2 linked regions of the Neurospora crassa OR74A genome follow. The protein of the gene in region 2 purifies or fractionates together with the protein of the main gene of each other region. This does not show direct contact. Links are inferred from orthologs where the notes say so. Each region holds a gene or a part of one and is shown on either strand. Other genes may lie near its edges.

Evidence for each region. Proteins that work in one complex are often made in the same cells at the same time.
Region 1: the proteins of pcb-1 (region 2) and rpt-1 purify together in Saccharomyces cerevisiae (affinity purification with mass spectrometry; 3 studies listed by BioGRID, with this or other methods). This does not show direct contact. The link is inferred for Neurospora crassa OR74A from reciprocal best matches to the Saccharomyces cerevisiae genes PRE3 and RPT1.

The regions. Positions count from the first base shown.
Region 1 is NC_026501.1:8,944,047-8,948,698, reverse strand, and holds rpt-1 (26S protease regulatory subunit 7), read left to right. Parts: upstream 1-1,540; 5' UTR 1,541-2,107; coding exon 2,108-2,110; intron 2,111-2,174; coding exon 2,175-2,266; intron 2,267-2,337; coding exon 2,338-2,452; intron 2,453-2,529; coding exon 2,530-3,639; 3' UTR 3,640-3,897; downstream 3,898-4,652. Other genes in the region: NCU02839 (T-complex protein 1), read right to left, coding at 1-299, 406-1,061, 1,136-1,187, 1,301-1,351. UniProt on the Saccharomyces cerevisiae protein: The 26S proteasome is involved in the ATP-dependent degradation of ubiquitinated proteins. The regulatory (or ATPase) complex confers ATP dependency and substrate specificity to the 26S complex.
Region 2 is NC_026507.1:58,754-63,606, reverse strand, and holds pcb-1 (proteasome component PRE3), read right to left. Parts: upstream 3,249-4,853; 5' UTR 2,760-3,248; coding exon 2,726-2,759; intron 2,541-2,725; coding exon 2,495-2,540; intron 2,379-2,494; coding exon 2,364-2,378; intron 2,242-2,363; coding exon 2,207-2,241; intron 2,124-2,206; coding exon 1,883-2,123; intron 1,755-1,882; coding exon 1,436-1,754; 3' UTR 1,025-1,435; downstream 1-1,024. Other genes in the region: NCU09289 (hypothetical protein), read left to right, coding at 216-301, 554-643; NCU09291 (FAD dependent sulfhydryl oxidase Erv2), read right to left, coding at 3,678-4,071, 4,163-4,419. UniProt on the Saccharomyces cerevisiae protein: The proteasome degrades poly-ubiquitinated proteins in the cytoplasm and in the nucleus. It is essential for the regulated turnover of proteins and for the removal of misfolded proteins.

The DNA.
Region 1 (4,652 bases), on a different chromosome or scaffold from region 2:
GCGCTGCCGAGCTTGTCCTCGGTGAAGGAGTCGATGTCGGCGATGGGCTTGCAGCCGGTCGATTTGCAAATGAACTCAACTTCGTCGCGCTCGATGTCCTTGACGGCGAGGATGCCGAGGCGCTGCAGGAAGTGCAGGGACAGGTCGTTGACGGCGTCGCGGAGGATGGATTTCTGGATGAAGAGGACGTTGCACTTGGCTTTCTTGATCTTCTTGACCATGTTGAGGAGGTAGGTGCGCTCTTCCTTGACGATCTTGTCCATCTGGCGGTAGTCGTTTACGGAGATGGTGTTTTCCATCTGTAAGAGTGAGTTGTTAGTAAAAGCACGAAAAGGGTAGTGTTTGGGCGATTTAGGGCCAGCAGGCAAGGTGGGTAGGTTATGGTCGCCAGAAAGGTATACGCACATCAGGCTTGGGAGGGCTGAGCTGGAACTGAATAAGACCGATCCTGGCCTTCTCCATCCTGACGGGACCACCAGCGCTCTTGATGACGGGCTGTGTAAGGACGAGACCATCAACCAGCTCGCTGTCCTCGATCGTACCGCCGACCTTCTTGATTATGCGGATGTTCTTGAGGTCGACATTCTCGGCGGTCTTGAGATCTATCGTCTTGGTGACTGCGTTGACGGCCATGGGGCCGAGGAGGTTGGAGTATTGTGACACGATCTTGGAGGAGAGCGAAGTGTTGGCGGCCTGGAGGAGCGAGGCGGTATCTGTGAGGGAGATGGGTTGCGACATGTCGTGGAGGACGTCTACGGCAGCGGCGGCGGCTCTTTGGAAAGCTTCGGAGATGACTGAGGGGTGGATGCCCTTGCCTAGTAGCCTGTCGGCGGCACCGAGCAAGCTACCGCAAAGGACGACGACCGAGGTTGTGCCATCACCGGCCTCGACATCTTGGGCGTGCGACAGCTGGACGAGCATCTTGGCTGTGGGGTGCATGACCGACATGCTCTTCAACATTGTGCTGCCGTCGTTGGTGATGATGGTCTCCCCCTTTCCAGTCATGATCATCTTGTCCATACCCCGCGGTCCCAGCGACGTTCTGACGGCATCGGCGACGGCTGGTGCATGTCTCTGTGTCAGCACCCCAGACAACAACGACACAAGACGGAATGACAAAATGTTGTAGGCATACCTCTGGCGGCGACAATGTTGGATGAGCGAACGGCGATGGGCTTCTCCTTGTCCTGTTTACATGGTGGGCTATCAGCAACTGGCTTGCCACAGAGCTTCACCCCTCCTCCTGGAGCTTTCGCACCGACTCCTATCGAGGGGTCAGGTTCCAAAAAGCGGGACGCACCCTGAAAGTCGCATTGCTCGCCGTCTGGGTAGCTGCCGGTGCGGTCGCCATGGTGCAAGCTTGTTTGATCTGGTATTTGGGATTATGGGAGATAGTAGACGGGAGGTCGGATGGGGGGATCAGAAACTGCCGGAAATTCGAGTTGACAGTTTTGGGGAATCGGCTTGCGCTGGGTGCAGTGCAGTTGTTGTGTTGTAAGGCAGAGCTCTCCTCTTCTCCTTCTTTGCTGGTCTGGAATCAATGGGCCAAAAACACACACACACACCGTCCCCTCCGTACCAATGTTTCCACTGCGGGACCGTAAAGTGAGTGCTGGCGCGGGCGCAAAGGTGGGCTGGCAGGTGGTAATTTTTTGTCGGCTGCTTTTTGCTGAGCGGTGGGCGGTGGAAAAGGTACCTGCGGCGCTGTAACTTTACACAGTCTAACCGGATAGGGTTAGGTAGGTGCTGTCAAGGTGGCACCCACCCGTAGCTCCCTCGCCCGCAAGGCAGCGCATGGATTACGGCAACGATTGAGCTTCGACCCTCTGTCAGTGAGTGGTGGCAGTTGGACCTTGACGAACCATCTCCATCCATCCATCCATCACATCAAGCAAGCACTGAACACCCATCAAACCAACTTGAACCCGACACACCACATCAAACCCGCGCCGAGATCTCTACAACCCCACGAACGACCCACGCCAAACAAGGAATCTCTCGCCCGGAGCCATCGCGACTTTAATTACCGACCCGATCCTTTCGATTACCCACCCTTCTTCGCCTTACCTAGTCCAAACGGGAAGCGTCATTCCCACCCGCCGTCATCATGGTATGCTTGCAGTCGCCCTACCCAAAGGTGCAACGCCACTTTGCACGACTGACACCGGGAATAGCCTTCTGCCACAGGTCAAAACTGGGAGAAGTACAGGAAAACGTTTGGCGACGATGAAGTCGAGGAGAAGAAGATCACTCCCCTCTCAGACGAGTATGTTGCCGCCCAAGAGAGCCCGCCCACCACTACCACCGCAACGGACAAGTCGTCTAACCCCCGTCAAGGGATATTCAGGTCCTCAAGACATACGGCGCCGCGCCCTACGGTGCTGCCATCAAGAAGCTAGAACAGCAAATAAAGGAGAAGCAGCAGAGCGTGGATGAGAAGATTGGCGTCAAGGTATGCTAGTCTTGCGGTGGCTACCCTACAAACCGCGAAGCGCATCTAGCTGACCAGTGATACTTTTTGGTCTACAGGAATCAGATACCGGCCTTGCGCCCCCTCACCTTTGGGATGTGGCAGCCGACCGTCAGCGTATGTCAGAAGAGCAACCGCTTCAGGTAGCGCGGTGCACCAAGATCATCCCTGACGAGAAGGACGAATCGAAGAGCAAGTACGTCATCAACGTCAAGCAGATCGCCAAGTTTGTTGTCCAGCTGGGCGAGCGAGTCAGCCCGACAGATATCGAGGAAGGAATGCGCGTCGGCGTCGACAGAAACAAGTATCAGATTCTCCTTCCGCTACCTCCCAAGATCGATGCGAGCGTTACCATGATGACGGTCGAGGAAAAGCCTGACGTCACATACGGCGATGTCGGTGGTTGCAAGGAACAGGTCGAGAAGCTACGCGAGGTCGTGGAGATGCCCCTCTTGTCGCCAGAGCGGTTCGTCAACCTCGGTATCGATCCCCCCAAGGGCGCCCTGCTATACGGACCTCCCGGCACCGGTAAGACGCTTTGCGCCCGTGCCGTTGCCAACAGGACAGACGCCACCTTTATCCGTGTCATTGGTTCCGAGCTGGTTCAAAAGTACGTCGGTGAGGGTGCCCGCATGGTCCGCGAGCTTTTCGAGATGGCCCGTACTAAGAAGGCTTGCATCATCTTCTTTGACGAAATTGATGCTATTGGTGGAGCCCGGTTCGATGACGGCGCGGGTGGTGATAATGAAGTTCAGCGTACTATGTTGGAGCTCATTACGCAGCTGGATGGTTTCGATGCCCGTGGCAACATTAAGGTTATGTTCGCTACTAACCGTCCTTCCACGCTGGATCCCGCCCTGATGCGTCCCGGACGTATCGACCGCAAAATTGAGTTCTCTCTCCCCGATCTCGAGGGTCGTGCCAACATTCTGCGCATTCATGCCAAGAGCATGTCAGTCGAGCGCGATATCCGATGGGAGCTCATTTCTCGCCTGTGCCCGAACGCGACGGGTGCTGAGTTGCGTAGTGTTTGCACGGAGGCGGGCATGTTCGCCATCCGTGCGCGCAGGAAGGTGGCGTCGGAGAAGGACTTTTTGAGTGCGGTGGACAAGGTCATCAAGGGCAACCTCAAGTTCAACTCTACTGCGGCCTATGCCCAGTACAACTAAACGGGGAGGAAGAAGCGCATCAATAGCGGAATGGGGAGTTTGGGGTTTTTGGTTTGTGTTGAAACCGGAAGTCTAGATGTGTAATAGATGATGAATCAAGAGCGGCTCGAGATGGCACTCATAGCTGGGACTTGGGAGAGTTTGGACCGCCAGATCCCACACAGTAGGCACAATGCAGTAGGCTCTCCTGACAAGCGAAATGAACATACGGGCGGAATGAATAGGTATCATGCCTACTGTTGTTGATGATGAACATGGATTTGAAGCGATTGCATACCTATGTGACAAAATGTGACAGCAAAACTCCATGGCAGACATGGTGAGAATTGTGACGATGAGGTGTTACGACTCCGCCGCCGTGGATATCCAGACTTCCAAAATGGGGAGACGGAGCTGCTCCCGGGATACCCTTGGCAGTGACACCATCCAAGCGAAGCGATAAGGCAAAAAGGCGGGTTACGTTGAACGATAAGGAAGCTGTAGCTCAATCGTGTCGGGTGCCGCCGTCGAGATACCGGAGCACGGAGAGGTCTTGGGGGCAAGTCATGGATGCAAAGGGGGGAAGGAAACAAATGGAAATCAAGCGAAGGGGGAAAAGTTGCAAAAAAATTAGAAACCGTGGTCGCGCTGGGGGTCGAACCCAGGACCTATGCATAACTTCCAATGGCTTGGAGGTATCTAATTGCGTGTGTTAGTATGGGACAAACACTTTGGAGAAGGTATCTTCGGGGTCAAGACTCACAAGAGCATCGCGGTAACCACTCCGCTACGTGACCATTTCTGGTTTGTTGGTTGCCTGCTTGTACCCCATGGTCAGCTTATAATAGCAGGTGAGGGGTTTGCAGATGGCTTGAACATCGATAACCCTAACCCCCTTGAATCTCAGAGCTTCTTAGAGCTGATCTTAGCTGACAATGCGATGACGCATCACCTGATGATTTGCCCTCCGGCGTCCGCGACCCGCGTTCATCGGCCTCTCACCTCAGTCTTTCCGGTGGTTTTGGATCCTTGCA
Region 2 (4,853 bases):
GTAGGTATGTGGTCCATATCAACTTGACCATATCAACGTTTTACAGAAAAACTTGACCAACCTCCCATTTCAAACCGATGACCGCTGACCGACATCCTGGTCACTCACCTTACTTGCACATGCTCGGCCCATCGCGCGTCAGTTGTCGTTGTTGTCTATCTTCTGTATGCCACTAGGTATGTCGCTGTTGACGCCATCGCCCTTCAGCCCATCAGATGCAAGGTCGGTTACGATGCAGCCCAACCCTGGGACGGGAGACCAGGCTGCCAGCAAACAATATATCCGCCTGTTCAAGGTAGAGGTAGGTAGGGTATGCTTGCCTGCCACGTCCAGCGCCGTGGATGGCTTGAAGGGCGTCTTAGTGGGTAGGAGCTGTATAAATGGCTCCTTTAAGATGAAAAGAGACGTGAGATCGAAGAGTTGAGCGTGTAATTTTACGATAAGCTGGCGTTTACAAATAATGGGTACCTGTAAGAACGGAAGCCTCGACCACAAAACACCTTAGACCTGAGTTCATTAAAGTTCGAAGCTTCAGTTATTAAAGCCGGTCTAGAATGGTAGAGGTAAGACAGCAAGGGGGTATCAAGTCCTCGTACAGCAGCCAGAGGACGACAATGCCTGCGACCGATACTACTATATGTGAAGGCATCTTTGGTAATTTACGTATTTCACGTATCAAAGTCGTTACGTATCAATGGGAACATTGACGTATGAAGTGGGTTTCTTCGTGTAACCGCGTTTGACGCAACAAACTCGCCGCCGACTTCGCTGAAGTGCAACAAACTTGGTATCGTTGGCGAGTGATGTGGCAATGGATCCTAGCAAAACTCCTCACTTTCACTCCGCTGGCGCTTAGCGAGGCTACATATCCACTTGATCTATTTGGCTTTCAAGAAGTAGAAGATGTGATGAACCCATAACGGTGGTAGCTTTTGCGTCAAAGAATGGCATCTTGACGTTATTGGCTTTACCTTGTGTAACAACAACTATGACGCCAAACCATAGACACCTACCCATCGCCAACCTCCCGTCGGGTTCGCCACGCCTCATCTATAGTGGGGTATAGTAGCGTAGCTATGATAGGTTTATGCTACCTAATAATTACAGCACCTTAGCCAAATACGAGAGGTCCCGCTTACGAATATGAATGAAGGCAAACTTATCCTCATGTTCAAGGATATGAGGGACCACTTCCAGCTGTATCAGTTAAGCCTGCAGGAAACAGTTGAACTTCCTGCCATCGAGACCATGGTCTAACGACTTGTCTTCTCATGTATCATTTCGTATTAACACACCTTCTCTGGTGTACTTTCTTGGGTGAAGGCTGAGGCTGGACCCTTGGCTCGTCTCCTGCTACATTTCAGCCGCCCATTCGGGCTACGGATAGATGACCATCACCTCCACGAGCCCAACCAGCCCATTCTTCGAGATCCCATCACTGGTGCCTCACCTTGTAATCCGAATCCGGCAGATACAAATGCCTGTCGGCGCCCTTCTCCGTCAACACCACCATCCTGATGACACCTCCCGAGGAGCCATCCCACTTGATCGCCTCCTTGAGTGCCTCCTTGACAAACGCTACGGCTTCGGCTTCCTCCATTCCTTCCTTCCAGTTGGCGTCGCAGTACCCATAAATGTATGTGGAACCGGAACCGCCAATCGAATACGGCTGCTTGTGCAGGGAGCCGCCGAGCGGAATGTTGTACACTTGACCACCGTGGCGGGCATCCCAGCCGGCAATAATGAGGCCGGCACTGTTGAAATCCAATAGTCAGCACGGAACCCGACCTGTGCATGATAAGAGAAGAGGAAGAGGGCGCAAGAGAAAGAGAGAAAAACGCAGCAAAGTGAGATGAAGGGAAGGGGGCCACCAAAAACATACGTCAACCTATCCTTGTTGGCATAAGCAATCTCCTGGAAGACAGCAGCCGCAATCTGTGTCGTCGGAGGCCTGCCGTTGACCATGTGGTACAATCCCAGCTGGTATTGCACAATGTCGGCGACGGCTTGTGTATCGGCGGCGGATCCGGAGCGGCAGCACCAGATGGTGTCGTGTACTTGGGTCAGCTTGTCGGTTACGCGGTTGGCAATGTAGGCGCCTGTGGTTGTGCGGGAGTCGGCTCCTGTTCAAGGTGTCAGCCTGAGATCGATGATTCTGTCTCCGGAATCCAAGGGTATGTAGTGTTGTTGGCTGGAAGACACTAACCGAGAATAACACCGTCCTTGAATGTGACCGCCATACTGTATTTATATCAAGCTCGTTAGACATCGCTGCTGCTTCGCGTGTGGATACCCGGGATCCTGTCGCATCGTCGAGAGGCTCGATGTCGTAAGGGAGGGATAGAAGGTCGGGGGAAGCTTACATCGAGGTACCCAAACTATTAGCAGACAAGAAAGTTAGCTGACTGCTTCATTTGTTCATGCGCATCGCTTGCGACTATATGATAGGTGGGATTGGAACTAGAACCATGGGCGCGCAGTGTGGTGTACTTACTTGACCTCACCCTTCTTCAACCTGTCCATATCGACATGGATGCCATCTGTAGGAGACAGTAGCGGTTAACATGTGTTGTCTGCGATCGACCTCGGAGGGGGAACGGTGTTGGCGGCAGGGAGTTGCCGGACTCGAAGAGAGTTGGTAGGTTGGTGACTTGTAGGCAGTGGTGACGCCGTGATGGTGATGACTTGATATGGAATGCGACGCCGAATGGAAGTTGGAGCTCACCTTCGCTGAGCACGCCCGACGTTCCAAATTCCATGATGACGGGGCTATCGAGTGGTTGTCGTTCTAACGTAATGCGCAATCAAGATGTTGGACAGTCTCGTGAACAGTCGTTCGGACGCTCGTCGCAGTGTAAATCGAGAGGACAAAGGCGTGGAGTTGTGGAATCGTTTCAAGTCGTGTTGTTGTTCGTTGTACTACTGAAAGGAAGCTCCAACGAACGCTGGGTGAACCTCGAAGGCGGCGAAGGCGGGCCCATCACAGGGCGGGACGGCCAGTTGAGTGGAAGCTCAGGCCCCCCTCAGCTCAAGGCAGCTCCAAACACGCGTGTTGCAGACGGCGGGCTTGGCTTGGCTTTCACTTAAGTGGATCACGTGCGATAGCCGCCATAAGCTCCCGTCCCCTCGAGGCCCGGTCGTATCGATTGTTCTTATCTTATCAGTCTCTTTCACGCGATTCGACTCCATCTGATAGCGTCATCGTCGGGCTCTCTGCAGTGGAGCGATATTCTCTAATCGGGGTTCATGTATAAGGTATACGGCAGCATAACCAATGAGACAACCAAGGGAATTGCCTGGCCATTGTCTTTCGTTGACCTTTTGCAACCACGGCACAGAGGTAATTATCAACTTAATTCAAAATACCAATGCTCAATATCTCAACGGTTTCGTTTCGCAAAGGGCCCTGGAGCTGGCGGCGGTATAGAAGCAGGCAAATCCATGTCTTTGACAACCTCATTTCCACAGCGCCTTGGAATCTGAACGCCCCTCGGGTCGAGTTCGTCCGAATTACGACAGGACACCAGTCGATATCGGTGTTACGACTGCAATATCCAAGACATTTCCGTCTCTAATCAATGGGCGTTCCGGCATACGCCGCTCACGGTCACTTGATATCCATGCGTGATTGTCACCTCCCTACAAGTGCAGAATCAACTTTTCCTCCTATTCAACCCTCAATCCATCTTGAGATCTTCTCCCTTCTTTGTCTCTGTTTTGACCTCTGCCCCAGCGCCAGCTTCCCCCGCCTTTTTGGCACCTTCATCCCCACAGCCACAATCATAGAAATCCCCAATCTTGTTACAGTCAAATTGCTCTTTCTTGAGGCGCTTGTTGACCTCATTATGGACAAAGCAGGCCCATCCGGCCGCCGCGTTGCGCCCGCTCGTTTGCGGTGGGTACTTCTTTAGCAGCTTCTGGAAGTGCGATGCGCAGTCGCCACAGGGGTAGAGGCGCGCGAACAGCTGGATGTAGGTTTTCAAAGCCAACGATTCTTCGGCGGTCGGGGTCTCGGGGAAGCGCGCCATCATGGTGTGGAAGAGACGCCAGGAAGCGCGGCCTAGTTCTGCTCTGTTGTGGTTACTGTGGTTAGCGAAATGATGCCTGGCCAGACGGGCATAGCGTGATGTAGGGTGCGATGTAATGCACATGATAGACATACTTGGCCGTCGCATTCTCCAGCTTGGGCGCGATAGAGCCGCCCTTGAGGATGTTATCCGATATGCCAAACGCGGACTTGCTGCCGCCATCGCCACTAGCACTCTTGTGATCTCCGCTGCCGCTACTTCCGCCTAAATCGAGAGTCTCTGAATGCTGTACCACCCCCGAGGAGCCACTCGAGGAGAGCATGTAGGTCGTAAACACAAAGAGAATGACGCCGACGACGAGCATCAGCGTAATGTGCGGCCTTCGCGCCATGATGATGGTAAATCGATTCGATTAGGGTAGTCCCTGTGGAGGTCTTTCTCGCGCCCAGTTGACTTGGTTCGACTTTGTTTTTCTGACCGAACGTGTTTGGTTCTTGTCGCCGGTGAATTCAGGATCCTGCCTGTTTCGCGTGTGGTCGTGAGGATCAGAGCGCACGTTGTTGTAGAGATTAGGTGATGGTATCGTGGGCGTTCAATGAGACTGCGCGCGCAACTACCTCGAGGTCATATTTGTGGCAAGCGGGTAGTAAATATCGTTGTGAAGTAGAAAAGAGTAGGGCAAAGGAGACTTCGCATCAAGAGGAAGAATGGACCGATGATGATCCCCTGAATTGTGGTTCGAGAAACGAACCCTTTGAGTTGGCGGAATTGGAAGCGCCGATTGGACTTGAAGCGAGAGACCCGACCCCACGTCCGGTTTGGTTC